Callithrix jacchus: one gene and its partners. The protein of the gene in region 5 interacts with the protein of the main gene of each other region in a pairwise test. Links are inferred from orthologs where the notes say so. Each region holds a gene or a part of one and is shown on either strand. Other genes may lie near its edges. The genes, in order: DNAJA3, TRIM27, KIF20A, FHL5, ATOSB and CEP70.

Evidence for each region.
Region 1: the proteins of ATOSB (region 5) and DNAJA3 interact in binary tests that used the Homo sapiens proteins (3 or more experiments, as listed by UniProt). The link is inferred for Callithrix jacchus from reciprocal best matches to the Homo sapiens genes ATOSB and DNAJA3.
Region 2: the proteins of ATOSB (region 5) and TRIM27 interact in binary tests that used the Homo sapiens proteins (3 or more experiments, as listed by UniProt). The link is inferred for Callithrix jacchus from reciprocal best matches to the Homo sapiens genes ATOSB and TRIM27.
Region 3: the proteins of ATOSB (region 5) and KIF20A interact in binary tests that used the Homo sapiens proteins (3 or more experiments, as listed by UniProt). The two-hybrid records come from large-scale screens. The link is inferred for Callithrix jacchus from reciprocal best matches to the Homo sapiens genes ATOSB and KIF20A.
Region 4: the proteins of ATOSB (region 5) and FHL5 interact in binary tests that used the Homo sapiens proteins (3 or more experiments, as listed by UniProt). The two-hybrid records come from large-scale screens. The link is inferred for Callithrix jacchus from reciprocal best matches to the Homo sapiens genes ATOSB and FHL5.
Region 6: the proteins of ATOSB (region 5) and CEP70 interact in binary tests that used the Homo sapiens proteins (3 or more experiments, as listed by UniProt). The link is inferred for Callithrix jacchus from reciprocal best matches to the Homo sapiens genes ATOSB and CEP70.

Annotation. Positions count from the first base shown.
Region 1 is NC_133513.1:6,527,822-6,531,937, forward strand, and holds the start of DNAJA3 (dnaJ homolog subfamily A member 3, mitochondrial), read left to right. Parts: upstream 1-1,316; 5' UTR 1,317-1,335; coding exon 1,336-1,546; intron 1,547-4,116. UniProt on the Homo sapiens protein: Modulates apoptotic signal transduction or effector structures within the mitochondrial matrix. Affect cytochrome C release from the mitochondria and caspase 3 activation, but not caspase 8 activation.
Region 2 is NC_133505.1:2,069,995-2,074,136, reverse strand, and holds the start of TRIM27 (zinc finger protein RFP), read right to left. Parts: upstream 2,801-4,142; 5' UTR 2,516-2,800; coding exon 2,069-2,515; intron 573-2,068; coding exon 477-572; exon of another isoform or gene 1-476. UniProt on the Homo sapiens protein: E3 ubiquitin-protein ligase that mediates ubiquitination of various substrates and thereby plays a role in diffent processes including proliferation, innate immunity, apoptosis, immune response or autophagy.
Region 3 is NC_133503.1:36,590,327-36,593,427, forward strand, and holds part of KIF20A (kinesin-like protein KIF20A), read left to right. Parts: intron 1-455; coding exon 456-594; intron 595-714; coding exon 715-902; intron 903-988; coding exon 989-1,118; intron 1,119-1,295; coding exon 1,296-1,490; intron 1,491-1,597; coding exon 1,598-1,709; intron 1,710-1,808; coding exon 1,809-1,877; intron 1,878-2,077; coding exon 2,078-2,221; intron 2,222-2,348; coding exon 2,349-2,514; intron 2,515-2,625; coding exon 2,626-2,790; intron 2,791-2,919; coding exon 2,920-3,059; intron 3,060-3,101. UniProt on the Homo sapiens protein: Mitotic kinesin required for chromosome passenger complex (CPC)-mediated cytokinesis. Following phosphorylation by PLK1, involved in recruitment of PLK1 to the central spindle. Interacts with guanosine triphosphate (GTP)-bound forms of RAB6A and RAB6B.
Region 4 is NC_133505.1:102,562,312-102,565,811, reverse strand, and holds part of FHL5 (four and a half LIM domains protein 5), read right to left. Parts: intron 398-3,500; coding exon 211-397; intron 1-210. UniProt on the Homo sapiens protein: May be involved in the regulation of spermatogenesis. Stimulates CREM transcriptional activity in a phosphorylation-independent manner.
Region 5 is NC_133502.1:141,997,497-142,001,453, reverse strand, and holds the start of ATOSB (atos homolog protein B), read left to right. Parts: upstream 1-1,157; 5' UTR 1,158-1,368; intron 1,369-1,526; exon of another isoform or gene 1,527-1,850; intron 1,851-3,957. UniProt on the Homo sapiens protein: Transcription regulator that may syncronize transcriptional and translational programs.
Region 6 is NC_133518.1:45,794,728-45,798,227, forward strand, and holds part of CEP70 (centrosomal protein of 70 kDa), read left to right. Parts: coding exon 1-167; intron 168-3,500.

The DNA of each region.
Region 1 (4,116 bases), on a different chromosome or scaffold from region 5:
TTTAAACCCAACTAAGAATCCTCAGGTTCTCTTGCTATTGTTTGAGGTGGTGCTGATGGTGACAGTGTAAAAACTGAAACTCCTTTGCAAGACTAACCAGGTCAGGTCTCCCTTTGTAGCTTCATCTTATCACATACTCTTATATTTAGGGCTTAAGCAAAGAAGGCAAACGTTTCCTATCTTAGACATTTGCTTCTGAAGTTCTGGCTACTCGGAATACTCCACTCCTACCTGACGCACTTTTCGTCAAAGTCCAATTTGAATCTTACCTCTCAGAAGCCCTGACATTCCAAACTTCCTCTCTCCCTTTTTAGAAAGGGAATGACTTGGGAGGCCGAGGCGGGTGGATCACGAGGTCAACAGATCGAGACCGTATTGGTCAACACGGTGAAACCCCGTCTCTACTAAAAATACAAAAAATTAGCTGGGCACGGTGGCGCGTGCCTGTAATCCCAGCTACTCAGGAAGCTGAGGCAGGCGAATTGCCTGAACCCAGGAGGCGGAGGTTGCGGTGAGCCGAGCCGAGATCGCGCCATTGCACTCCAGCAGCCTGGGTAAATGACACCTTCGCCTTGCATGGCTTTCTTGGGTAGCATTTAACATAGCTGCTAAGGAGCCCCTCTCGAGTCATTGTCTGCTCCTCCACAGCAGGGATGGTGTGTCATGCATCACTGTATCCCGGATATTCCAGAACATGCATGACACACATTAGGTGCTCACAAGTTTCACTAAGTTTTTAGGCAGCAACGCTCTCATTCTGAACCACCAAGTTCACTGCAGGTTTGGAGAAGACTAACATGCTTAAGAAGGGAGTTGAGTCTTGTTAGAGAAGGATGGTGGGGAATCAGAGTAAGAGAAAGTGAGACTGCGGCCGGGCTTTGGGGATGACAGCGAAGATTTACCATAAGCTCGCGGAGACAGCAGGAGTAAAACGCACGCAATTCACTGTAAGTCTCAGGGTCAGCAGGAGGGAACCAAGCACGGCATGCTGGGAGCGGCACTACAGAGCGCCGCGTTGCATGCCGGGACTTGTAGTCTCGCCCCCCTCCCCACACACACCCCGGTACCCTCGGACCGATTACGTTCGGCTACATTCAACCACGTCCTTATACAGATACCGTGCACTCATTGGTCGTCTATCACGAAACAACGAGATTATGCAGGGCAATTCTACCTAACAACACTATTCAGAGGAAACCCGGTTTCGGCGATGGCTACCAGGAAGACGCATTACGTGCGTCTGCGCGTGCGCAACGCTAGCGCCTCTACGCGCGCCCGCCGTTCCTGCGAGGGCCCTAGAGCCGGGCGGCGCAGGCGCAGTGTCCCTGGGCCAAGATGGCGGCGCGGTGCTCCACACGCTGGTTGCTGGTGGCTGTGGGGACCCCCCGGCTGCCGGCTGCAGCGGGGAGAGGGGCCCGGTCGCCCAGGGAGGGCGTGATAGGGGCATCGCTGAGCCGCAAGCTGGGCATCCCCGCCTTCCCGTCTACCCTGATCGCTTGTGGCCCCCGAACGCTGCTGACATTGAGACCTTGTGTCAACCTCACAGGTGAGGGCAGGTTCTAGCGCCCGAGTGGCGGTTTCAGGCCTACAAAGGAGCGAGTCTTCTCGCTGCGACTACCTCTGCGGGGGTAGCGGGGTGGAGGGTGTCTTCCGACCCCGATGCGGAATTGCGGGAGAGTCAGGCAGGCAGGAGGCGGAGAGGCCCTAGAGGCTACTCAGCCGTCTAGGGAGGGAGAGAAGCGTGGAGCCCACGGCGGCAGTGATGAAACACCCCGTAGATCGTGAACCTTCACCTCTCTGTCAACATTTCTGGAGGCCACTGCTCTTCCTTTCCCATCTCTCTACCTTCTAGCCCTTAGCGGAAGGCAAGAGGTAACTGCCCTTCGGGAAGGACTAGGTACTTTCTTACAACAACCCTGCGAGATGCCTGTCTTCATCCCCATTTTAAAGATTCACCAGAGGAATCGACCAGCCCAAGCCCAAGGTCATTAGGTTAGACTAGGAGTTGTCTCAAACCCAGAGCTGTCAGGTCATAACTTAGGCCCTTTCTACCACATGGTGCCAATTGAAAGGCACAGTTAATATGTTTTACAAGTCCTTAAGTTGGTAATTGTAATAACAACACAGACATTTATTGAGCACTTACTGTTGGTCAGGCATGGTTTTCCCCTTATATCACATTTCCATGTGATAGGCACTGTTATTCCATTTGATAAAGATACTGAGGCTTAGATGTTAAACCATTTATAAATGTCACAAAGAAGTGGAGCCTTGATTTGAAACTTGCCGCCTTCCTTGCCTGACATGATACCAAATTATACATTCCTTGAAGTGCTTATTGGTGTTTTACTTTCTTTTTCTTTTCTTTTCTTTTTTTTTTTTTTTTTTTTTTGAGGTGGAGTCTTGTTCTGTCACCCAGGCTGCAGTGTGGTGACTTGATTTCTGCTCAATGCAACCTCCGCCTCCCGGGTTGAAGCGATTCTCCTGCCTCAGCCTCCCCAGTAGCTGGGATTACAGGTGTCCACCACTATGCCCTGCCAATTTTTGTATCTTTAATAGAGATGGAGTTTCGGCATGTTGGCCAGGCTGGTCTCAAACTCCTAACCTCAGGTGATCCACCCACCTCGGCCTCCCAAAGTGCTGGGATTTACAGGCATGAGCCACCACGCCTGGCAGCCATGTTTTTTTATGCTGTGTGTTTTGTGCTGTATGTTGTATGTGCCTGAATTGTGCTAGTCGTTTTGTGTTCTCTAGGATTTGTCCAAATGATATTTAAGCTATCCATAAATTTATAAAGATTAATTAAAGGGCCCTGACTGGATAATTAATACCAGATAATTTTCTATTGCAATCCAGTTTTGTAATACTTACATAGTAGACAATAAAGTATCAGTAATTGTGGTTGTTTCATGCAATGTAAAGAAAATAACTTGGGCTTGAGGGGTGAACTTCGCCAGTGTGTGTGGCCTGGGTGTATTATTTAATAGCTTTGAGCCTCTCTTTGAAAATTCATTCATTTACGGGAATTAATTGAGGCCTATTTTATACCACCCACCATTGTGGGCACTGAGGAGACGACAGAGAGCAAAGAGATTGGATGTGTGTTTGATAAAGAGAATGATTATGGCCGGGCGCGGTGGCTCACGCCTGTAATCGCAGCACTTTGGGAGGCCGAGACAGGCAGATCACAAGGTCAAGAGATGGAGACCATCCCGGCCAACATGGTGAAACTCCATCTCTACTAAAAATACAAAAAATTTGCCGGGCATGGTGGTGTGTGCCTGTAGTCCCAGCTACTCAGGAGGCTGAGGCAGGAGAATTGCTCGAAACCAGAAAATGGAAGTTGCAGTGAGCTGGGATCGCGCCACTGCACTCCAGTCTGGCGATAGAGTGAGATTCTGTCTCAAAAGGAAAAAAAAAGATAATGATTATTTATTTATTTTTTAAGACAGGATCTCCTCCTGTTGCCCAGACTAGAGTGCAGTGGCACAATGACTACTCACTGCAGCCTTGACCTCCCAGGCTTCATCGATCCTCCATTCTCCACCTCCTGAGTAGCTGGGACTACAGGCATGTACCACCACACCTGGCTAGTTTTTCGTGTTTTTTGTAGTTGAGGTTTTGCCATGTTACCCAGGCTGAGCTCAAGTGATTCGCTTGCCTCAGCCTCCCAAAGGACTGGGATTGCAGGTGTCAGCCACTGCGCCTGGCCAAGAGAATAATTTTTTTGCGGTGGGGATGGACTCTTTCTCTGTCACCCAGGCCGAAGTACAGTGGTGTAATCCTGGTTCACTGCAACCTCTGCCTGCTGGGTTCAAGCGATTCTCTTGCTTTAGCCTCTCAAGTAGCTGGGATTACAGGTGTGTGCCGCCATACCAGACTAGCTTTTTATTTCTTGCTTTTTCTTTTTTTGAGATGGAGTCTTGCTCTGTTACCCAGACTAGAGTGCAGTAGTGTGATCTCAGCTCACTGCAACCTCTGCATCCCAAGTTCAAACAATTCTCTTACCTCAGCCTCCTGAGTAGCTGGGATTACATGTGCCAATGACCATGCCCAGCTGATTTTTGTATTTTTAGTAGAGACAGGGTTTTACCATGTTGGCCCTGCTGGTCTGGA
Region 2 (4,142 bases), on a different chromosome or scaffold from region 5:
TCCTAAATACCTCTATCATGAATTAACACATCAGCCACTTGTCAAGGCCTTGAGGCTGGAAGAAGAGAACAGAGTAAAAACTCCACAATCAAGGCACTGTCAAGGAGAATAACCCAGAGAGAAGCAACAGTGGGCCTTATACAGGACGTCTGCAGAATGGTAACAAAGGGAGCTGACTGTACCCAATAAAGTTATCTATGTCAGTTTTGCCAAGAATCAACCGTGGTCTATGCAGTTAGCAGGTTAAGCTTTATTGACAGGTCTGGTTTCCAGGGGTTCCAAACTAGGCTCCTCCATCCTTTCCCCAAAAGTAAGGGAATCTCTCAGTTCTCAGGGTGAGATCCCCCGCCATGTGCGGTTGATCCACCTCTACCTACAAGTTCTGGATGACTTGCTGGAGAAGTTTAAGGGAAGTAACAGCTCTACAGAAGAGGGGAGCACCAGCAGAAGCGACTGTGAATTCGGACAACCCTTACCAAGAGTTCGGCTCGTGCCTGTTCCCCCTGGGCCCGACGTCTCTTCTTTAAATCTTTCACTCTTTTAAGGTGGTCCAGCTGGTTCTGAATCTGCTCCTGAGAAAAGCAAAACAGATGGCAGTTCAAAATTAAGTAGACCTTAGCATCAGCATGGTCATCGAGACGGAATCTCACTCTGTCATCCAGGCTGGAGTGCAGTGGCGCAATCTCAGCTCACTGCAACCTCCACCTCAAAGGTTCAAGCGATTCTCCTGCCTCAGCCTCCCGAGTAGCTGGGACTACAGGCACGTGCCACCATACCCAGCTAATATCTGTACTTTGAGTACAGATGGTTTCCCCAAGTCTGTCAGGCAAGTCTCAAATTCCCGATCTTGTGATCTGTCTGCCTCAGCCTCCCAAAGTGCTGGGATTACAGGTGTGAGCCACCTCACCCAATAGCATGGTCATTCTTATCACAGATGGAGTCCACACACCTGATGCCAAGTCCTGTCTGGTCCTGTCCTCAGGCCACAGTGCCACCCACAAGATTAAGACCCAGGGCACAGGGGCCATCAAGCCTCGCCTCTGGCATTTTGTGTCTATCTAAGCAGCCTGTGGCTTCAACCACTCAGCTACTGCGTCAGGACTATTTGTGTCTATCTTAAACAATGAGTCATCTACCTGTCCCTGGTCGGATATTGCATGACTTAGCGGAAATGTGACTGGAGCAGGAGGCTGAGAGTTGTGTGGTACTGGAGCTTTTCCTCACAGGCATACTGCGAAGGTGACTTATTTTCCTCAGGTGTGACATGGGCAAACACCATCTTCCCAACCTGCTCAAGATGTATCACCAGTGAGTGAAATAATATAGCTGAAAGGTCCATTAATGTTAAGGGATTACACATGAATGTACTCCCATTAAACAGGGACATAATTGTGTATGCATTACTGAAGCCCTCAAGATACAAATAATTGTGTCATGGACTCCTTGAAGGGCGCCTTACAAGTGTTTTATTTGGAACACTTTGTCTGCACGTTACTGTTTGTTTAGCTGTGCCGGTTAGCAGAGGGCTCTGAGCGTCCTGTGATTCCACGTTCTTCCTCATGACTGTGTTATCTCCTGGGTCCTAGAGTAGTTAAACGACTTACTCAAGCACCAAAGAGCTGTTATTTTCCGTGAGCTTCTAGAGCCGGGCAGACTGAACGAAAGTGCTAGAGAAAATGCTTCTACACTAAGGAATGGCCGTGAGTCAGTGAACGTCTGAGCGCGTTTTGTTGCGAGCCGGTGGGAGCGGAGCGTGTCCCCAGCTTGCGGATGTGCGCGGGTTGTATGCGCTTCTTTCATTCTGTCAAAAGGTCTCCGTGTACAACGCGCCCGCGAGGCAGGAAACTCGGGGGCACACGGAGCGAGGAGAGTGGGGGTGGGGGGACTTGTGGCTTCTTCGCCAGCCACAGGTTTTCCTCCAGATCCGAGCGCGGAGGCTCCGGGGCGCACGGGGAGGAAATGACGGCTGCGAACCAGCCCCACGTCCGGCTCAGCCATTTTCTGGGCGGAAAAGGGACGCCCCGGGCTCTCCCCCTCCCTTTGTCCGCCGCCCGCCCCGCCAGCTCACCTTGAAGCCCTCCACGGCCTCCTCGAGCGGCAGCACGCTGTGTCCGCGGTGCTCGCGGGAGCGGTCGCACACCACGCAGATGGGCGTCTGGTCCTGCTCGCAGTACAGCTTCAGCGGCTCGCGGTGCTTCTCGCACGCGCCCATCTCCCCGCCCGGGCCCACCGGCCGCTCGGAGCGCAGCTGCTTCACCAGCTGGGTGACGTTGGCCAGGTGGCGGTTGGGCCGCAGGTGCCGCTGCGGGAAGGTCTCCCGGCACTGCGGGCACGACACGTTGGTCTCCGCCGCGCCCCAGCAGCGCGCCAGGCACGCGCCGCAGATGTTGTGTCCGCAGTCGAGCATCATGGGCTCGGAGAAGTACTGCAGGCACACGGGGCAGGTGGTCTCCTGCTGCAGGCACTCGGCCACGCTCGCGGACGCCATGGCGGGGCCTGCGGGGCGCACGGGCATGGGCCCCGACCGAGCTCCGCGCCGCGCCCAACTCTCCCGCGCTCTCCGGTCGCCGTTCCCGGGAGGCGCGGGGCGGGCGGAGGGCGGCGCCTCCCGGGCCCGGATCCAGACGCGCCCGCGCCGCGAAGACTCGAGGTGGCCGCGCCGCTCCCCGCGCCGGGGCCCCCGATGAAGGCGCGAACACGCTCCGGGGCAGGGCCGGGTCGCCGAGGGGCAGAAGCCCAGGGGCAGGCGCGCAAGACAACGTGGCCGCGTCCGAAGCGGGTCCCGGCGGCCGCGCAGACCCCACCCCGGCGCGAGCGGAAGAGGCGGCTCGGCGGGCGGGGCTTGGCCCGCGCTCCCAGTGAGAGGCTAGATTTCGTGGCCTCGGGGCCTGGGATTTTCTTCTCGGAAAGGCCGAGGAGGCTCTGCCGCGGTCCCTGGCCCGGTCGCGCCGAAGCTCCAGCCTAGGGGTCGGGGCCCGAGAGCCGGCGCTGTCTCCGGGCGCGGCGCCGACCGGGTCTCCTGGCCACGCGCTCCGGGCCTATAGGCTTCCGCGGCTGCCGGGCCGGGCCCCGAGTCTTTGTTCGGTTTCCTTTTGGTGCCTGGGTCCCAGCCCTGCAGAAGAAAGCAGGCTTTGTGTGGATGCCGAGGAACGAACGGAGACATCTGGCCTCCCCCGGAGTCTGGAGGATGAGGGTTGCGGACTAGCCCACCTGAGACGTGGGGCCTTTTATTAAGCAGCCCCATTTGTAGGCACCTGCAGTTTCGTTTAGATATCAGACGGTAACGTTTCTGTGTTGCAATAACAAGCCCAGTTCTGCTACTTCTCTCCTGTGCTCAGGCAAGTTGGTTTACCATTCATTTACCTCAGTTTCTCCCGTGTGAAATGGGGATAATTGTACCGCAGTAAGAAGTACATTTCCTTACATCTTTTACTTTTTGTACCATAGGGTTGTTTATCCATTAAAATAGTAATAAAATGCCCACTACATAGGGTTGTTGTGCTGAGTAGCAACTACAAATTGCTTGCTCCTTTCTGAGGCATCGACCCAGGGTCTTGGAGGCCGCAGACCGCCAGCATTTTTTTTTTTTTTGAGACGGAGTTTCGCTCTTGTTACCCAGGCTGGAGTGCAATGGCGCGATCTCGGCTCACCGCAACCTCCGCCTCCTGGGTTCAGGCAATTCTCCTGCCTCAGCCTCCTGAGTAGCTGGGATTACAGGCACGCGCCACCATGCCCAGCTAATTTTTGTGTTTTTAGTAGAGACGGGGTTTCACCATGTTGACCAGGATGGTCTCGATTTCTTGACCTCGTGATCCACCCGCCTCGGCCTCCCAAAGTGCTGGGATTATGGGCGTGAGCCACCGCGCCCGGCCCCCGCCAGCATTTTTATGTTACGTTCTTATCCCTTACTGGCGTTTCCTAGTTTTCTTTGAAATTTTTCTCAAAATTATCCTGCTGTCTGAGCAAGACAGGCTTCTGCTTCCAGATGATCACTTTATTTTTATTTTTTCAAAGTGAAAGTAAGTTTATTATTATTATTATTATTATTTTTGAGACAGAGTTTCACTTGTTACCCAGACTGGAGTGCAATGGCACGATCTCGGCTCACTGCAACCTCCGCCTTCTGGGTTCAAGCAATTCTT
Region 3 (3,101 bases), on a different chromosome or scaffold from region 5:
TAGTTATATGTTAGTCACTATGTCAAGTAATATATGTATTTCAATTCCAACAAATTATATTATTATCGTTATTTCCTTATTTTCCTGACAAGGATAGTGTGGTGAATGTAATATTACTGAAGCCATGTAGTTAGTCATGGGTAGAGTTAGGACCTGAGTCTAGATCCATGTATCTCCAAAGCCCACGATTGGGGGCCATTATATTGCCCCATTGTGTGTACAGCATCAGGCCTAGGGCATAACATTCCTTAAGTGTTTGTTGATTTGGGTGAAAGATAGACTAGCAGAGAGTGCTTAGTCCTCAGTGTTTGGGGAACAGCTGGCAGCACTACAGGAAGAAGCTGCTTGAGTGGTCTCCAGAGCCAACCACTCAGGAAGGAATATATCTGCAGCTTTGCACAGGAGGCAAGTGGGAGATGAAGGATAGGCCACTAAAAATCTGGGTCTCTTTCTAGATCTTTGGGCCAGAAGTGGGACAGGCATCCTTCTTCAACCTAACTGTGAAGGAGATGGTAAAAGATGTACTCAAAGGCCAGAACTGGCTCATCTATACATATGGAGTCACTAACTCAGGGAAAACCCACACGATTCAAGGTGAGTAGTAATGCTTCACAGGATTCCTGATTGGCTGCTAATGGCATTGTTTTTACCTTTTGATACTCTGAGTTAGGGGGAGAAAGACACTTGCCTCAGCCATCTTTCATATGCCTCCAGGTACCATCAAGGATGGAGGGATTCTTCCCCGGTCTCTGGCACTGATCTTCAATAGCCTCCAAGGCCAACTTCATCCAACACCTGATCTGAAACCCTTGCTTTCCAATGAGGTAATTTGGCTAGATAGCAAGCAGATCCGACAGGAGGAAATGAAGAAGCTATCTCTGCTAAATGGAGGTCTCCAAGAGGTAAAGCATTGGTATCCATGGCAGTGGGGGCAGGGGGTACAAATCTAGGGAAGTTTTGTGCTTACCTTCTCCCTGTGCCCCTCTAGGAGGAGCTGTCCACCTCCTTGAAGAGGAGTGTCTACATTGAAAGTCGGATAGGTACCAGCACCAGCTTCGACAGTGGCATTGCTGGGCTCTCTTCCATCAGTCAGTATACCAGCAGTAGCCAGCTGGATGGTATGTACGATGACTGGGCTCTGCCAAGAAACAGTAGGAACCCACTCCCTGTTCCTAACAGCTGCCCAGAGTACAGACCAGAGGTTGCAATCTGAGGTCTGCCTTCTGAAGCCCCTGCAGGCCAAAAAGAGATGAACTGCTCTAAGTTGATGCCCTATACATTGGCTTCTTCCCCAGAAACAAGTCACCGATGGGCACAGCCAGACACTGCCCCAGTACCTGTCCCAGCAGACATTCGCTTCTCCATCTGGATCTCATTCTTTGAAATCTACAATGAATTGCTTTATGACCTATTAGAACCGCCTAACCAGCAGCGCAAGAGGCAGACTTTGCGGCTATGCGAGGATCAAAATGGCAATCCCTATGTGAAAGGTATGAGAAATGGGGGAAGTTGGCATGAACACTGGAGGGCAATTGGGGAGAGACTGGCAAAAGAGTTGGATGTTCCCATCTTATACCCTTCTCTACTTTGGCCTCAGATCTCAACTGGATTCATGTTCAAGATGCTGAGGAGGCCTGGAAGCTCCTGAAAGTGGGTCGTAAGAACCAGAGCTTTGCCAGCACCCACCTCAACCAGAACTCCAGCCGCAGGTGAGTGGATTGTAAGAATAAACTTCACTGTGTTCAGGAAACATTAGTGTTCCGTCTGGTCATAGAAGATGTGCAATGACTGTTTTTCATAACTTCCAGTCACAGCATCTTCTCAATCAGGATCCTACACCTTCATGGGGAAGGAGATATAGTCCCCAAGATCAGCGAGTAAGTTTTTCCATTTCGAAATTTGGGCTTCTTGGTCATAAATGGTAGTCGGGAAAGCATGAGGGAGGTTCTTAGGGGAACTTGTTCTCCTTCTTTGGGTGCAGAGATTCTTAGTGGGCCCTCCCCTCTCCAGAATTATACAAAGGGCCAGAAGGCTCATAACATATGAGGCCCTTGTCAGATCCTGTGCATCATTCTAGGCTGTCACTCTGTGATCTGGCTGGCTCAGAGCGCTGCAAAGATCAGAAGAGTGGTGAACGGTTGAAGGAAGCAGGAAACATTAACACCTCTCTGCACACCCTGGGCCGCTGTATTGCTGCCCTTCGTCAAAACCAGCAGAACCGGTGAGCTTTTGATTATAAGCCCTAGGCTCTGCAATTTGCTAAGAGACTTCCTGATCACCACTGGTGCTAGGCTACCCCAAAGGCTGCTGTTCTGCTCACAGCTCTAGTATCTCTGATTCTCTGCCAGCTCAAAGCAGAACTTGGTTCCGTTCCGTGACAGCAAGTTGACTCGAGTGTTCCAAGGTTTCTTCACGGGCCGAGGCCGTTCCTGCATGATTGTCAATGTGAATCCCTGTGCATCTACCTATGATGAGACTCTTCATGTGGCCAAGTTCTCAGCCATTGCTAGCCAGGTGAGAAGCTAGAGGTATGATGGGTATGCTCAACTTGGAACTGGTAACTCTAAGAAAGCTCCTAGGGACTACTTACAGACTCAAGTAAGATATATTTTTTTTTCTCTCTAGCTTGTGCATGCCCCACCTGTGCAACTAGGATTCCCATCCCTGCACTCATTCATCAAGGAACATAGTCTTCAGGCATCCCCCAGCTTAGAGAAAGGGGCTAAGGCAGACGCAGGCCTTGATAATAACACTGAAAATGAAGCTGACGTCTCCATGTATGGCAAAGAGGTGAGAATTCAAGAAGGCTTTGGTGCAGCAGCTTAGTAGCTACACATTTTCTATGGTGCCTTCCAGGTGGGCTTGTGCCTCTCGAGGGCATGGGCATCTGATGACCTCTGACACGTGTCTCTCCCCTAGGAGCTTCTACAAGTAGTGGAAGCCATGAAGGTACTGCTTTTGAAAGAACGACAGGAAAAGTTGCAGCTGGAGATGCAGCTCCGAGATGAAATTTGCACTGAGATGGTAGAACAGATGCAACAGCGGGAACAGTGGTGCAGGTACTAGCTGAGTGATCCCTCTTGCTCTGTCACCTGGGACAG
Region 4 (3,500 bases), on a different chromosome or scaffold from region 5:
GTGCAGGCTCCCAAAGTATACTCTTGTACTTTCCTTGAGAATTCCATGTAATATTTGTACTCATATATAGGTACCCGCTTGTGTTTATCTCAAAAGGAAACATAAATGAAAGCTTCCCATCTTTTACTTGCATTTCCTAAATTAACTAGACAGCCTTTTGTATAGCCATACCTGTTTCATGGCATGATCATATTGAACTGGAGAACTCACCAGTAATGGGTTTGGAACAGGCTACACACTTGTTGGCATAAAGATGGTTGTAGCAGTCCACGCAGAATGGATAGTCATCTCTGGACATAAACTGTTCTTCACAGAGATCTTTCCTACAGCCACTACACAGAAAACACTCTTTATGCCATAGCTGGTCACAAAATGTTATCCCACCTGAAGTTATCACCTGCCAAAGACCACAGAAAAGGCAATGACCATGGGAACCATTACAATTCAGATCACTTCATGATTCTCTTTAGATTCCAGTATCTGTGGGGGGAAAAGGAAGCAAAATGAAAAAAACGATCATTTTATGTCTTCTATATCCAGAACTGATGCTTCCAGCTACTCTATTTTCACCTCATGTTAGGATGTTCCTTTCCTAAAAAATGTCTTTAAAGAAAAAGGTATAATAATATGAGAAGCCAAAGGCTATAGAAATGAGCTAGAAGTAGAAAGAAATGAAAATTACTGTATATTTTTCTCCTACAATGAAATAGAACAGAGGCAGGGCTATATTGGTAACTCTGAATGGAATTGGCAAGCACCGTTATTTGCTAATGATAACTACCATTTCCTAAGTGTTTTTTTAGTCCTTAGCACCGTGCCAAGGATGACCTCTTCTAAAAAGTCTCAACACCTCTACATAGTAGAGACTACTATCTTTCCCTCTTTCCAGATGAGCAACTACTGAGGCTTACAGTCATTAAGTTACTTGCCATGGCCACAGTGAGCTAGTATTCAAACCTGCATGGTCTGACTCCATAGCCTGTGTGCTTCACCATTAGTACCAGACTGAGTCAAGGTTATCTTGCACAGGTAAGCAGCTGATAAATCCTTGTTGAATGAATGAATAAATACCAAAGGAAAAAATAGCTGGAAAGCAATTCCAGTATTGTATCTAGCAATGGGGTGCTGTGGGAATCAGAACTCAGTGGAATGAGCACTGGTTGTACATTGAGCCTTAACGTGTGATGTGAAGCGTTTTGTCAGAGATGTAATTAATTTTCCATAAGATAATATTTTTTTTCTAAACCAGTTTAATTCATGAATTCTACCTTTTAAAAGGCTGAAAAATCTTTATGCAGATTCAGATGGATAAATATTGGGCAATTCTTCTCGTGTAACTATTTTTAAGCCATATCACCTTTTGAATTCACAGCTAATGAGCTCTTGGAGTTGCCGTAGATACTGAAGTGTGTTTTTGTAAATGTTTTATAATGAAGCAATGGGATATCTGAGGTGGTTCCTATAAACTTTGTATCAAATTAACTAGATAGCAAAAACACAGAGCCTATTTTAAACCACTTCCTTGTTTACAAACTCAGAAATGTTGTCTGTAATACAGACTTGTGAAAAAATTATTCTAAAGATATTTTTAATTTTATAACAAATATCTTAGAAATTAAAGATATTTGATATAAAAGATTATTTTCCTAGGGGAAAAAAGCATGCTATTCTGAACAAGTAAATGGGAAGCATAATGGTGTGATGGAAGTAAAGAAATTTAAAATACCCCCTACTGACTTCAAATGCCTTACAGCAGACACAGCAGAATTCATGATTCCTTTGATTTATTTGGGCTAAGTATTCGCAGGCAATGCTTAAAAGATTCAAAACTTGAAAAATGTATTCACAGCAAAATAAAACTTGATATATACACCAAAGACTGTTTAATTAGAGAGAAGAAACTCTGGAACATTAAAAATAGTTTGCTTGTGATTATATTCCTTTTGAAGAGGTAGGAAGGTTAAGATGAAGTCTAATATCTGAGCTTGGTTTTCACCACTGATTGATCCCAGGATTTAGAAAAAGTTTCTTCTCTGAAAAAGTGGAGGCAATAATGATTTTGTACTCAGTAGGTGACAGATGAAGAATCAAAGAAGACATTTAACTCTTTTTGAATCTTGAGGAATTTGAATTTGAAGCATTTGTAGTTTGAAGTCATTTTCTTTCTGGCAGAAAATAAATCTTAGTATAATAAAATAAAATCTATGGACTTTAAAGCTTAAAGGTTTTAAGGGCCTGGTTGTCAAGTAGTTTTTCCTTTTTCTTAAGAAAAAATTTGGTCTTTGCCTTGAGTTTAAAAATTGTTTAGATTGGATCGTCTTGAGCAAAAACATATCTAGCTTTTTAGAAAAGGACTTGTGGTTTTAAAAACTAAATAAAAAACAATCTGGTATGTCACAATCTGTCTACTACCCAATATAAATATTTTGTAAATTTTTGATGACTTCAAATCATATCCTAAATATAGTTACAGGCTCCTATAACCTGGGAAACACCAGCACTTGGCCCAGACAGTTCTCAGCATGAATGTACTAAAGAAGTTTCACTCCTGAATTTTTATAGCATTGAAAGAGACTTTGTATTGTGTCCAGTAATTGATTTTAAGGTAATTCTCACAAATTTAATTACTTTTAGTCTAAGTCTTTAAGAAATGAAGCCTAAAATTGGCCAACTCAGTTGTCTCTTAAAACAGTGAGATAAACCTATTCATTTTATTTCCAGCATGATTTTAATTCCTTTAATTTTTAATTTTTATATATATTTTTAGAGATAGGATCTCATTGTCACCCAGGCAGGAGTGCAGTGGCTCAATCATAGCTCACTGCAGCCTTGAATTTCTGGGCTCAAGTGATCCTCCTGACTCAGCCTTCCCAGTAGCTGTGACTACAGGCACATGTTACCACACCTGGCTAATGTTTAAAGTTTTTTTATGTTGCCCAGGCTGGTCTTGAACTCCTGGCTTGAGGCAATCTTCCCACCTCGGCCTCACAAAGTGCTGGGATTACAGATGTGAGCCACCATGCCCAGCCTCCAGCATGTTTTTAAATGCTGTCATTGACTCTGCTAATTCTTTGGAGCTTCATATGTCATATGGTCATATAGTTTGCTGCTTATAAAGTCATTTTCTAAGCCAGTGTTTTGGTAGAATAATGAAGTTCTCAGTCATAAGATTATTTGATATCTTGTTGTGATCAATTGTAGTTCTCAGCCATCAATATAGTGTAACTTAATAATTATGATATAGCATACTGTATTGTTGCCTCTTTAAATGCAGGATTGGTATTGGTTATGTGTGTTAAAAAATTACTGTGTGCATGTGTGTATGTGCATGTTTGTTCACGTATGCATGTGTAGAAAGTGGTAGTGTGACTTCCAGCTGTCCAGATATACAAATGGGCTTAAGAGTTCTGCCAAAGTAGCCCATAGATAAGAAAATACTTAGAAACCGCTACACTAATACAGTGTGTTTTCCTGCTTCAGCTTTCTCATTTCAATTTATG
Region 5 (3,957 bases):
GATCCTGTGCCTCAGCACGGCATAAGGCTCACCCCACAACCCTGTGGGGCACTCAGCCCTACAATATAAAAAATAAAAGTTTAGGCTGGGTGCGGTGGCTCAAGCCTGTAAACCCAGCACTTTGGGAGGCCGAGGCGGGTGGATCACGAGGTCAAGAGATCGAGACCATCCTGGTCAACATGGTGAAAACCCCTCTACTAAAAATACAAAAAAATTAGCTTGGCCTGGTGGTGCACGCCTGTAATCCCAGCTACTCAGAAGGCTGAGGTAGGAGAATTGCTTGAACCCAGGAGGCAGAAGTTGCAGTGAGCCGAGATTACGCCACTGCACTGTAGCCTGGGCGAAAGAGCGAGATTCCGTCTCAAAAGAAAGAAAGAAAGAATGTGACTTTTGGAGAACTTGATCAAATCAAGACTCAAGCCGTCCGCTCCTCGGAGAGGCCACAGACTGGCGCTGAGCTGGGTTCTCTCAGTTCTGCAAGTGTCCTGTGCTGCCATCTACCGGTGTCTGGTAAGCGTCGCCCTCCCTTACTGTATCTCCTGAGGAGAGGTTGGGAGAGAGGAGACTCAAGCGCCAATTAAATTGCAGAACATATGTAACTGTCATGCAGTTCATTCGACACCTGTACAAGGCAAAGGCCCCACTTTTCTTCAGCAATTGCAGGCCTTCCTAACTCCATATCAACACTCATCTCGTAAAATTCACAGACCTCTTCGCTGACCTGCCTCAATGGGTAACAGATCTGACTCCCACTGTCCATCCCAGAACCCACACCCGCCTCCACAGCGTAGGCTTCAGAAACTGCTCAACCTCACAAACGTGAACCCCACCGTCCAGATTCCCGGACCCCTGAGATTTCACAGACTCTTGAGATTCCTTGCACTACCTGGCAAACCCTACGGACCTCCCCTATTAGTGCAAATGCACGCGGCAACCCACACGTCCCTACAAAGAGGCTCGAGTTCCACAGGCAGCTCACACCCGCGCGAAAGCTGCGAGAGAGCCCCAACCCGGCTCAGAGCCCTCAGGCCTGTGGCTTTGGCCCGGGCTCCGGCTCCCCAGCCCCGCCTCGATCCTCTCGGCTCAGGCTAGCAGCCTACCGGCCGAGGCCCCACCCCTCTGGACCTGTCATCACAGAAGCCGCACGTGGCCAGGGTGGGACCTCAGGCGACCTGCAGCCATCACTTTGTCTCCTCCGTCATCCATTGGGGCCGCCACCGCCAATCAGAGCCAGCGGATCCGGGTTGGAGCGCCAGCGCCGGGGTGAGGCGAGCGGGAGAACGGGCGGAGGAAGGAGAGACTCTGAGATAGGAGGGGGATCGTGGTGGAAGCGGGTGTGGTGCGACTTCTACCAGGCTGGAATCCGAGGTGGGGCGCCGGTGAAAGGCGGAGAGAACCAGAGGAGGCAGGGATCAGGGGTGGGGCTTAGGAAAAGCGGAGGATCCTGGGGAAATGCAAAGAAAATGAGAAGGGGGCGGGGTCAGAAGGGGCGGGGCTCGGGCTACAGGGGAGGAGCTCGAGAAATTAAACGAGGAAAGGGACGAGGCCGGAGAAGGTGGAAGGTGGGACAAGGGAGAGGGTGGGCCGGGGCGTTGCGGGGGCGGGGCTCGTACCGAAGGGGCGAGGTTTGCAGGCCGAGGCTACAGCTAGGGCTGCTCAGTAACTGCCTCAATCACTACCACCTCCCCAAGTGCAACGGGACCCACGGAACTACAGGTGTGGGGCGGGGTGAGCGAGGAAGAAGGGACACGGATGGGGGTGCGCTTTGCAGACAATCTGGAGACTGCTGTGTGTTGAGGGAAGACACGGAGTCGGGGGAGCAGTTCGGGACTCAATGTGTGGGCAACAAGGTGCATTCTCCAGGGGCCTCTGTGGGGGAAGGGCGGGAGCGCTTTGTGGGGGGGTGCAAGGTACACTGTGAGGGGGCTGGTTCGCTGTCTGATGTGGGGGGGTTGGAGGCGGTACATAAAGGGGAGGGGACTTGGAGGCGCTTTGAAAGAAGGGAGACTGTTTAACGGAGAAGGGTGGTGGGCCAGAGTGTAGGGGTGTCGGAGAGTCTGCGGGCACTATCTGAGGGGAAGGGGTTGCAGGCCCCAGTTGAGACGGGAGAACAGAACCCCCAGTATCCTAGCAGTTTAGGGCATTGTAGTAACTCCAGGAAGACCTTTGTGTTCTGGGTTCTAGGAGCAAGGGTGATGGAATTAGTGAGGTGAGGAGGCCAATCTGTTGCACTCATGTCTTTTAACTCCACCTTCTGGCCTGGGCACTGAGAGGAGCCGGACCCTGCTTGTCACCAGGGCTTGTGTGACTGTCTCCTCAGTCTATTTTGGATCTGTCCAACTAAGACTGGGGTTTCTTCCCCTAGCTGAGGTCCCGTAGGACCCTTCCCCCACTGTGTTCCTGTCAACCCCCCATCCTAGTTCCTGTTCCTCCCAGAGCCGGCCTTGGTCTCTGTCTCCCCCCCTCCCCCGCCCTGCCCTGCCCTTAGGCTCTGGGTGTGCTCATTTCCCACTTCCTTCCTTGCCCCAGGGCCTGGCCTGGCCCTTGCCCATCTAGGAGCTGTGCCCTGCCCAGGACTTTGTACTCAATGACCAGAGACCCTGGTAACCAGCAGGAAGGCTCAGACCCCACCCCCACCACTACCACCCAGGTCTCGCATAGCCCCCCCAAGTAATTGGTAGCCACATTTTACCACTTGCCAACTGGTTCCAACTGGTTTTCCCGACTCTATTTATTTTTTATTTTCCCCACTCTTGTCCTTCCCCTGGATGGGGAACCCTAGGGCTTCTGTGGGAAGGGGGAAGTGGTGAGGAGTACTGAGGGTCTTCGATCTCTTTTGAGAGGCGGGCCACTACTGTAAGCTGAACCCAGAAAGGGGTATGAGGTTCCAGCCTCAGCTTGGGGAGGAAGAGGGAGTGGCTCCCCACACTCCCTGCTTGAAAGCACTATCAGGACCAAGACTAGGACCTAGTACTCCTGAGGGGTCCTCAGCTTCCCTGAGGAGATTTGATGGAGTGCCAGAGTTCTTTTTGCCCCTAGGCTGGCTGGGAGAGTGTGGGAAAGACTTGAGTTCCACACAGTGGCTGAATGAGTGTGACAGTGTTGCTAAAAGGGGCCCCAAGCCAGCCTCCTCACACAACTACCCAGGAGCTGAGAGACTGGCTGGGGAGGGGGGTGTGCTGAGGACAGACAAAGCCCTGGGGTAGGGTGGGGTAAAAAAGGGCAGGCTGAAGCCTTTTGAGGAGGAGCTGATTGCTATGGCAACACTGCTTCCCAGACAGTCTCGCAGAGAGGGCGGGCCTAGGGCAGACTCTCTCCAGCTTCCTCAGGAGTGGGGAGGTTTGTGTGAGTGGGTGGGGCATGAAGAGGCAGGGCATCAGTTTGCTGTGCTGAGACTGGAGGATGTAGCCTTTCTGCTTTGGTACAAGCAGCAGAGCATTCGAATGCCTGGACCTATCCTCTGAAATGGATATGAGTGAAAATTAGTCATTAGAATTATAGCACTAATAGGCCAGAGCTGCAGAGGCCCTCAGCAATCATTGTCTATACAATCCCCTCATTTTACAGGTTTAGAAATTTATAGCTAAAGAGACTGTGATTTCCCAGATATCACAATGAAAGGGCATAAGTTAGGATCCAGCTCTCCTGATTTGCTGTTCACTCAGCCCAGGGCCTGTTGTTTTCTTCAATCAACGTTTATTGAACATGCCAGGGACTAATGTTGACTCTGGGAATATGAGCGTGAACAAAACAAAGTTGCTGCTCTCATAGAGCTTCAATTCTAATAAGGGAGAAAGAAATTGTGGGGAGGGGGGAGGAAGAAGTCAAGTAGTGTTAACTGCTATAGAAAAATAAAGCAGGGTAAATTTAGTGCAGCAAGGTAAGGCCTCTTGGTTGTACCATGCTGCTTTCCCAGGATACGTTGAGGCCTGGAACAGCTCTGATCCTTCACCCTGA
Region 6 (3,500 bases), on a different chromosome or scaffold from region 5:
TAGAGCAAAGCCGAGCAGCCCATCAAGAACAACGAGCTAATGACTTGGAACAAATTATGGAGAGTGTGAAATCCAAAATTGGTGAATTGGAGGATGAATCACTAAATAGGTTTTGCCAGCGACAGAATAAAATAAAAGATCTTCAACAGGAGCAGAAAACTTTACAGGTACTGAATTATGAATTCTTAGATGATGGTTAGTACTAAAACAGCTAATTATGGTCTCAGGTAACTTGCGTGTTGCTTAATTTAGTGGTTTTTACCTTTTTTGGCCTATCACTGCTACTTTGAAATTCCCTTCGCTTGGTTTCCAGAATATCCTCTTTGTTTCCCTCTGACCTCACTGATCATTCTCTAATTTCTTTTGCTGTTTTTTTTTCTCATCTCCCTCACCTCTTGGTATTGGAATTCCCCAGTGCTCAGTCCTTAGATCTTTTCTGTTTCCTGTATACTCTGATTCCCTTGGTGATCTCAATCTAATTTGGGATCTGAAATTTCTATCTATAGCCCAGTCCTCTCCCCAAATGCCAGACTCAAATCTAGCTGCCTACTTTATATCTCTACTGGATATCTAATAGGAATCTACAACTTTGTTTATTTACTTTTTTGACACAGCTTCTGGCTCTATCACCTAAGTTGGGGTGCAGTGGTGTAGTCTTGGCCCAATGCAACCTCTGCCTCCTGCACTCAAGTGATTCTTCCACCTCAGCCTCTGGAGTAGCTGGGAATATAGGTGCATGCCACCATGCCTGGCTAATTTTTATATTTTTTATAGAGACAGGGTTTTGCCATGTTACCTAGGCTGGTCTTAAACTCCTGAGCTCAAGTGATCCACCCTTCTAGGCCTCCCAAAGTGCTGGGATTAGAGGCGTAGGCCACTGCACCTGGCTGGTGGCATCTACAACTTTTTATGTCTAAAACTTCTTTTTGTAGAAATGGCAACTTTATAACATTAAATAATTAACTCCCTAATTTTAAAAGCTATTAAAACTTCGGTGTTTATTGTGATGAAAGAAAATGAGTCTTTTGTGCTGGTAACTGTTTAGTTGCATGAGGTGTTTCTGATCTTTACTAACGTACCATTTTAAACATTAAGTCCTTATTTTAGTGGTTTTGCTCACACAACACTATATATACCTTTGCATATGTAGGTTCAGATTACCTAAAAGGGAGCAGTATTCATCAGGCAAAGTCTAGAATTCCCCTCAGTGTATGCTGCCAGTGTTGGAGGTATCAAGTGAGTTAGCATAAATTCCATGGAGTTTGAGAGACTCTACCAGAGATACTATGGAGCTCTAGTATGAGGATAGAGGCAGTTGGTACACTATCCTCATTTATGCTGCCAGCTTGGGGCAGGCAGTACTAGAGCTGCTGGTATTGATCATAGTTTCAGAGAAGACATTGCTGGACAAACTCCTTTACCATTAGAATGTTGTATTTTTAGACTGGCTTTGTTAACAAGGTTGCTTTCTTCATCAATAGTGTATTTATAAAATCATGCAGTAGGCTGGGCCCTAGAACTCCCAAGAGAATATGCCCTTTGTCTTCAGCTACCAGAGTGGGTAGAGAGGGACTATCAGGTGGGGGCAGGGTTAGGTGTTTCTGAGCTCAGATTCTCCTTAGGTGGGGCTTGCTGCAGCTGCTGTGGGGAATAGGGGTCTGGTTCCCAGGTAAATAGAGTTATTTTCCCAGGAGGATTATGGCTGTCTCTGCTGTGTCATGCAGATTGTCAGGAAAGTTGGGGAAAGCCGGCAGTTATAGGCCTCACCTAGTTCCCATACAACCCAAAAGGCTGGTCGCATGTCACCAACAGCACCAAGTTCATTTCCAGGCAGTGGGTGAGCAGAGCTGAGAACTTGTCCCAGGCTACCAGCCTCCCAGCTGAGAAAGCAAGCAGGGCTTCCGTGGCTCCCCATTTGTCAAATCTGTACACTGGATTTATTCTTGCCCTTCCCCAAGTTCTGGCCAGGAAACTTCATGTCAGATTGGAGTTGTTAGAAAGTTCAGCTGGGGGTTTCCTTCTCTATGTGGTCTTTTACCAGCTTCCCTGGCAGCCTTTCCAAAGGGCCCCTGTGAGACAAGTCAGAAATGGCTTCCCAGGGGACCCAGAGATCCCACAGGGCTTTTCCCATTCCTTCCTCTACCCCTTTATTTTGCTCAGCTCTCTAATTTGACTCAGTTACAGGTAAGGTCAAATCCTGTGCCATGAACTAGACCTTCAGGTTCCCCAGTGAGGATGTATATTCAGGAGTAGACAATCCCACCTTTCCCACTTGCATAGCTTGGGCATTCACAGTATTTGGGGTGTCTCCTAGGTCCTGCAGGAGCAATCCACTTCCTTGAGAGGTCTGTGAATTTTCTCAGCTTTCCTGGTATATTCCTGAAGTAGTTTTGGAGCAAAAGTTTGTGGTATGAGTCTCCACCCACTGCTCTATTCATTTGAGTGGGAACTGCAATCTAGTCCTGCCTCCTATCTGCCATTTACCCCTAGCATTTCCATGTCTTGTTTCTTTAAGCTGTAGTTCATGGTGTCTTGTTTCCTTATGTGCCTGCTTATCTGCATATGCAAGGAATAGTATTTTTAAAAGTATTGATGGGAATTATTCGAAGCCTAAGATTAAGGCATCTTATTCCAAAGAGCAAGCTGGGTCACAACCTGGCTTCCAATCTCCTGGATATAACCAAGGAACCTCAAGCAAGATCTTAGTTTAAGGAGTTGGAGAAATATTTTTATTTATTTATTTTTTGAGATGGAGTCTTGCTCTGTCTCCTAGGCTGGAGTGCAGTGGCACTATCTTGGCTCACTGCAACCTTTGCCTCCCGGGTTCAAGCAATTCTCCTGCCCCAGCCTCCTGAGTAGCTGGGACTACAGGCGCTCACCACCACACCTGGCTAATTTTTGTATTTTTAGTAGAGACGGGGTTTCACTATATTGGCCAGGTTAATCTCGAACTCCTGACCTTGTGATCCGCCCACCTCAGCCTCCCAAAGTGCTAGGATTACAGGCATGAGCCACCGTGCCTGGCCAGAAATGACAGTTTATATATATCATTTGACATAAGAAAATAACAATCCTCTTTAGAGGAAGATGCCATGCACATACCATGCAGGAAACCCAAAGAAGTGAGTTTAGCTTTGGGGGCTACAGTTTCCCCCAAGGGTGTTTTGGGATTTTTGAAAATTAAGATGATTGTATTTTTTTTTCTTTATTGTGTTAATGTGGTGTATTACATTGATTGATTTTTCTATGTTGAGTCATCTTTGCATTCTAGGGATAAATTCCACCTGGTCATGGTATATAATCCTTTTACTGTGTGTTGAATTTGGCCTGCTAATATTATGTTGAGGATTTTTGCATTCATATTCGTAATAGATATTGGTCTATAGTTCTCTCCTTTTTGTAGTATCTCTGGCTTGGTATCAGGATAATGTTGGCCTGGTACAGTGAATTAAGAGATATCCAGCTGATTTTTGTATACAGTAGTTCCCCCTCATCCATGG